Linked DNA regions of Canis lupus familiaris. The protein of the gene in region 1 interacts with the protein of each later gene in a pairwise test. Links are inferred from orthologs where the notes say so. Each region holds a gene or a part of one and is shown on either strand. Other genes may lie near its edges.

Evidence for each region. The genes of interacting proteins can lie anywhere in the genome.
Region 2: the proteins of FARS2 (region 1) and RCBTB2 interact in binary tests that used the Homo sapiens proteins (3 or more experiments, as listed by UniProt). The two-hybrid records come from large-scale screens. The link is inferred for Canis lupus familiaris from reciprocal best matches to the Homo sapiens genes FARS2 and RCBTB2.

The regions. Positions count from the first base shown.
Region 1 is NC_049256.1:7,060,268-7,063,493, reverse strand, and holds the end of FARS2 (phenylalanine--tRNA ligase, mitochondrial), read right to left. Parts: intron 872-3,226; coding exon 661-871; 3' UTR 646-660; downstream 1-645. UniProt on the Homo sapiens protein: Is responsible for the charging of tRNA(Phe) with phenylalanine in mitochondrial translation.
Region 2 is NC_049243.1:2,982,638-2,986,383, reverse strand, and holds the start of RCBTB2 (RCC1 and BTB domain-containing protein 2), read right to left. Parts: upstream 2,376-3,746; 5' UTR 2,274-2,375; intron 1,749-2,273; exon of another isoform or gene 1,605-1,748; intron 1,340-1,604; exon of another isoform or gene 1,045-1,339; intron 1,006-1,044; exon of another isoform or gene 957-1,005; intron 1-956.

The DNA of each region.
Region 1 (3,226 bases):
GGAAATAATTTTTAACTTTCAAGAAGAGGCAATAAAAAGTTTGGTGTAATAAATGTCCAGCATCCAGAACACATAAAGAACTCTTACAGCTCAACAAAAAAGGGAAAAACAACCCAATTAAAAAGTTGGCAAAGGACTTGAATAGACATTTCTCCAAAGATATACAGATGGCCAATGAGCATTTGAAAAGATCATTTAGTCATTAAGGAAATGTAAATTGTGACCAAATGATGGATGGACAGAAGGAAGGAGAGAAGGAAGGAAGGAGGATGAATGGATGGGAGAGACAGAGGGAGGGGAGGATAAAGAAGGTTTGGAGAGGATACAAATTGAAACCTGTGTATGTGGCTGGTGGGAATGAAAAGTGATAGCCTCTGTAGAAAACAGTTTGGCAGTTCCTTAAAAAGTCAAACTGAATTATCAAATGACTCAGCAACTCTATTCCTAGGTATATTCTCCAAACAATTGAGAATAGGGACTCATATACTTCCGCACACATGTTCATACCAGCATTATTAACATTTAGCCAAAACATGGCAACAACACAAATGTCCACTGAGGGAGGAATGGATAAACAAACTGTAGTTTATATGTACAATGAAAATTTTTCAGCCATAAAAAGGAATGAAGTATTGCTACATGCTGAAATGTAGATGAACCTTAAAAACATGCTAAGTTAAAGGAGCCAGACAGACACAAAAGGTCATACAGTGTATGAATTCGTTTTATGTGGCATATCCAGAATAGGGAGACCCAGAGAAGTAGAACGCGGATCGGTGGTAGCCAGGGGCTGGAGGCTGGAAGAAGTGGGATGGGAAGCAGCCCTGTAATGGGTGTGGGGTTTCGTTGGTGTGATGAACATGTCTTGGATCTAGATAACCAGATAGACGTGGTGGTTACATAATACTGTGAACGTACTAAATGCCACTGAATTGCTCACTCGAAAATGGTTAATTTTGTTATGTGAATTTTATCTCATAAAAAAAAAAAACAATCACAGAAAAATAAGTTCAGAGCAGCCCTTCCATGGAGACACCATCTACATGGACACCGATCTGAAATAGATATGTCACATATCCTTGAGTCTGAGATTTTGGGTACAGGAATAAAGTGCAGTAGATAAGATTTTCTCCTCCCTCACATCTGCTATGGACCGTTTGGATCTATTTTTCCACAGAATACACCCAACAGATATTTTAACAGATATAATTTCTTCATTTTTCTTGGGGGATGGGGAGGGGAACTGGTTTTAAAAACATAATGCAAAGGCCCAACTGAAAAACAAATATATCAAATTTTGAAATTACTGCTATTTTATTCTTTTTTTTTTCATATTTACTGACGATAAGGAACTAAAACCACCCTCCAAGTAAAATTATTAGCTACTCAAGGGAGCATACCAACAGATCATAATAGCTATTTTTCACAGTTGCTTGAAAGTATGTCAGAACGTTTGAATGTAATTTTAATTAAACAAATTTGCAATTAGGAGTACAATCTTGCCATTTTCCTATTACAGCATGAGCTAGAAGAACAAAAATCCTCCTAGTAGTACCATAAGCAGGAAACCTAAGTACAAGTATTATTTAAAACAATTAAACAGTGTAATTACGATGTAGAAATGTATTCATATGTTACAGGATCCAATTTCAATCTCCACCTGGTCCAGCCATTGGCCAAATAAAGCTGCTGGGGGGGGGGGGGGGGGGGGGGGGGGGGGGGGGGGGGCGGGGGCACGGCCAGGGCAGGCAGGACACAAGACATTAGAAGAGTTAAAGGCAGGAAGGAAGGATGTCCCAGAAAAGGACATGAGGATATGGAGGGGCTCCTGGCTAAAATCTCTAAAACACATATGTTTTCTGAGAAGCACTTGAAACAGCTCTGCTCTGAAGGTTGGAGGGACCTTGAATCTTGGTTTTTCTATTAACCATTAGGATTTTTCCATCTTGAATATCTGTATGGATCTCCTTTACTTCACTATGCTAAGAATAGCTTCTTCAGACTAGTCTTCCCAAGAATTTGATCTGTTTAATATTGCCAGATATATTTCTGTATCAGATGTAATATCAGATTATTTGGGGTTCATATTTAAATAGATTTTTTTTTGGCAGTAGGAATCCTGAAACGAAGAAATTCAATGTACAGGTATTCCTTGATTCACTCTAGGTTAAAAAAATTAACGTTCTAAATATAATCAAAATCAACTCCTCTCTGTTTTCCTTTTGAGACGTTCCTCACACCTCCTTTTCCTAGCTTTCCTTCCCTCATTTTGGGGAGGCTGTTTCTGCCTTGAGAGGTGAGAGGAGGTCAAGTCTAATTTCAGGAGCTGTGGGTGCTTTGTATTGTGTTGCACTTCTCTTCCCCAGAGGTGGCTTCAGCCTTTGGGGTGGGCGGTTCCACCCAGCAGGTAACCAGGCTGCCTGGCCTTACAAAACCAAAGGAAAGTATACACAATCTTACTTAAAGAGACTTCTTTCCCCAAATGCCATTTTAAGAAATGCTGATCCAAGTATTGTCCAAATTCCAAATTCCATTCATATTTTCTGGTCTGAATTGCCATGCCCTATCCTTTAAGTTAAACAGGCTGGCTATCCCCTATGAAGCGAATTTTTTTTTTAATAATAAATTTATTTTTTATTGGTGTTCACTTTGCCAACATACAGAATAACACCCAGTGCTCATCCCCTCAAGTGCCCCCTTCAGTGCCCGTCACCCAGTCACCCCCACCCCCCGCCCTCCTCCCCTTCCACCAGACAGAACATAGAGACTCCTAACTCTGGGAAACGAACTATGAAGCAAATTTAATGATGCTGGTCTTAGGTGGGCCACCCCAGCGCTGGGGACTAAGCTCTAACCATCATTCCTGCGTAACTCCTGTTTCTCAGAGGAGGCTAATGGAGATGCTTCACCTGCCCTATCCATCCTTTAAAAGAGCTACAGGGGAAGGGGATGTACAAACGGGTAAGTGGCTGAAAAGTGAAACTTCCCCCACAACATTATTCCAAATGAAAATTACCAAACACACAGGCACAAGGAGGCAGGTCTAGGGGCCAGAGTTTGGACATGTTGTTTGCTGCATCGCACGTCAACCCTCTGTGTTTATCCACTAAGTCAGGTATTCTCTAATTGACATTTGTGGAATAAATATTCGTGAAGGCACAACAGGGGGGAAACGAGAAGAAATGTGATTAACCAAAGTATTTCTAACTTTGAACTTACTACTAGA
Region 2 (3,746 bases), on another chromosome or scaffold:
AATTCAAAAAACTAGTTCTCCGTCTTGACCATCGCCTTCAGTTTATCCTTCACATCCACCATAACCATGCTGTATAAAATTGCAACCCACACCTGTACCCTCAGGCCTCTTTTTTTTTTTTGCTCATCTTTTTCATTTTTCATAGCACTTATAATTTTCTAAATGATAAGTAACCACATACGTTTACTGTCAATCATTCTTTTCTAGAATGTAAGCTCCAAAGGGAAGGGATCTTTGTTTCTCTTGTTCACTGACATATCTTTTTTTTATTTTTAAAGATTTTATTTATTCATGAGGGAAACACAGAGAGAGGGAGAGAGAGAGGCAGAGAGAGAAAGAAGCAGGCCCCATGCAGGGAGCCTGACATGGGACTTGATCCCTGGTCTCCAGGATCAGGCCCTGGGCTGAAGGCAGCACTAAACCACTGAGCCACCCAGGCTGCCCTCACTGACAGATCTTAAATACCTGGACAGGACCTGATGCAAAGCAGTCACTCAGTATTTATTGAATGAATGAATGGATCCACAATGAGAATTCAGTACAAACTGTATCTGCGGTCAGATTTCACCTTCATTTATGCAGTTAACAAATGTCTCCTGTGCTCTGAATATGGGGGAGACAGAGCCTACACGCACGAATACATACCATTGGACAGTGACGAGTGCTATAAAGCCAAAGGGAACAAACAGGGCAAGAGGTCGGAAGGAGAGCAGTGGCTGTTTTAAATGACTGAGTCACCTTTCTGAAGTGATGGCAATTGTTCTGAGCCTTGAATTAAGACAGGTGCCATACATATTTGGGTGGAGGGGGGAAATGGGCTTTGAGCATGGAAAAAAAAATAGCAAATGCCTCGCCCTAGGGTGGAGGCCCACGTGGTAATAAGCCCAGTAAGCCCAAGGAGGCCGGCCTGGTGGAACTGGGGTAAGCAAGAATGTAGGATACATATTTGCCTTTACCTGCTACTCAGTAACCTGTAGGTATGGATCCATTGATGTATCCACTCACACGGCCTAATAATGCCCCGGGCAACAGATTACCTCTCACCTGGAGTACTCCAGCCCCCAAATGCCTGCATCAGCACATCGTGTAAGAGGACCAGGCACCGTAGTGACGTGGTCAAAAACTGCTCCAAGCAGCCTCAGGAGTCACCAAACTAGCCCAAGGAGCAGAAGGGGGCGAGGCCGGGGGCGAGGCCAGGCTCGGGCCGGGTCCTGGGAGGTGCAAAGCCCGGAGGCTCCTAGAACCGGGCCGGGTCCTGGGAGGTGCAAAGCCCGGAGGCTCCTAGAACCGGGCCGGGTCCGGGAAGGTGCAAAGCCCGGAGGCTCCTAGAACCGGGCCGGGGCCGGGAAGGTGCAAAGCCCAGAGGCTCCTAAAACCGGGCCGGGTCTGGGTAGATGCAAAGGCGGGAGCACGGAGAGCCGTGCACAGGGGCGGTGGGATGGGGGCCCGCGAGGCGCGTCGCCCCCCGGCCGCGCGCGACCCCTGCCGCCTGCACCGCGCGCCGAGCGGCCCCGGCGGCCCCGGGACTGTCCCGGCCGCGCTCCGCTCCGACCCGGGGTGCGACTCCCCCGAGCACGGAAACAACAAGTCCGCGGCGAACTCGCCTTCCAGCTGCGGCCGCGCGGCGCGCTTGCAAAGTTTGCAGCGTCTGGAAGCCTCCGGTTTCCGGGGCCGAGCAGGGCAGGACCTTCCGGCTTCGGACGCGGCTCGGGGCGCCTCCTCGCACCGGCTCGGCAGCTCCGCCCCGCCCCGCCCCGCCCCGCCCGGCGAGCGGGGCCGTCCCTCCTCTGCGGACCCGGGTCGGGGGGGCGGGGTCGGGACCCGGGGCTGCGGGAAAGGCTTTCCGGGCGCCCACGCCGCGGAGGCAGAGACCAACGCGGGAGGTGCCCCACGCGGGCGCAGGCCGGGGGCGGGGCAGGTGACACCCGAGGCCCGCGCCACCGCCGCAGCCAGGACGAGCCCCGGGCCCCGCGGCCGCTGCGCCCCGAGGCCCGCGCACCTTCCGCGCACGCGCAGCGCCGCCGGGCCCGCGGCCGGGGGAGGGGCTCAGAGCCCGCGCCCCGCCCCCGCCCGCGGCTTTGCGCACGCGCGGCGACGCCTCGGCCCCGGCCTCGGCCTCGGCCCCGGCCCCCGCCCGGGCCCCGGGCCCGGGCGGGGGCGGGGGCGGCTCGTCCGCGGTCGCCGCGCCCCGGGCCGGGGGAGGGGGCACCGGGGCCCGCCCGCTCCCAGCGCCGCGCCCCCTGCGGACCGCCGCCGCCGCCGGGTCGCCCTACCTCCGCGCAGCCCGAGCCGCGGCCGCCCGCCTGCTCCGCCGCCCTTCCTGCTCCGCCGGGCCCGCGCGGCGACCGCCTGGCGCCTCCCCCGACGGCCCGGCCTCGGCGGCTCGCGCTCCGGTGCGGGGCTGGGGCGGGCAGGGGCGGGCAGGGGAGGGGGCGGCACGGAGCCTCGCCCCTCCCCCGCCCCCCCCCGCCCCCGCCCTGCTCGCCGCCGCCTCCCGCGCAGCTCCCTGCCCGCCCCGCTCCCCCCGCGCGGCGTCCCCGCGGGCTTGGCGCTTTGGAGGTGCCCGGCCCGGGAGGCTGAGGCGCGCGTGGGCATCGTGTCCTGCGGCCCGGTCCCCGCTCCGTCCCCGGGGTCCTACCCACTGTGTCCCGGGGGTCCTCCCTCCTCTGTACCCGGGGTCCTCCCCGCTCCGTCCTCGGGGGGGGTCCTCCCCGCTCCGTCCCCGGGGTCCTGCCCACTGTGTCCCGGGGGTCCTCCCTCCTCTGTACCCGGGGTCCTCCCCGCTCCGTCCTCGGGGGGCTCCTCCCCGCTCCGTCCCCGGGGTCCTCCCCACTGTGTCCCGGGGGTCCTCCCTCCTCTGTACCCGGGGTCCTCCCAGCCCCGTCCTCGGGGGGGTCCTCCCCGCTCCGTCCTCGGGGGTCCTCCCTCCTCTGTACCCAAGATCCTCCCAGCCCCGTCCTCGGGAGTCCTCCCTACGCTCTCCCTGGGGGTCCTCCCCGCTCAGTCCCTGGGGGCCCTCCCTGTTTTCACAGGGGGTTCCCCCGCTCCTCACCCCCTGCTGTGGGGCCCCAGCCCTGGCCCCTTCTGATAACTACGGAATGTTGACATGACGCGTGACCTGTCTGGAGGGGTGCCCGGAGTTGCCCTGGGGCAAGGGCTTCTGGGCCGACCACACTATCCCTGCACTAACTCAGCAGTGCCTGTGTTACCCTGCGCTGCTGTTGGTCTCCATAGCTTTTAGCAGAATGCACCAGAGCTTTAAAATATGTGGAAATTTCTTCCCCTTTACTACACTCTCGTTCACCTGAGTTGGGTTTGGGTAAAATGCTCCACAGCTACTACTGCCAACCGTTCTGTGCAGTTAGCTGAATGCTTTTACGTTGGTTTTTTTTTTTTAAGGAGGACACAGGTTCAAGGGTTTAAATGATTGACCAGAAAGCACAGACGGGTAGACTGAGATGTCACCCCACAGTGACCACTTCGGTTGTATTTGGTCTGGCCTTTGTCATTCACTGGGGAAAACATCCTTCCACAGTGTCTCGCTGTTTTTATTGCAGCTACTATAGTCGGCAGGCACATCTGTGACCACAGGATAGTCGGTTAAAACTCAGGAGGAGGCTTGCATTTACTTGAGTTTGTAAGTCACCAGCGGGGCAGGAATCTTACCTCCATGGCATTGCCTAAAACCAGCTTTTCCCCTGAAACCATCAGTTACACTTTTGGCCTCTTAGTATAAAAGGTAACAA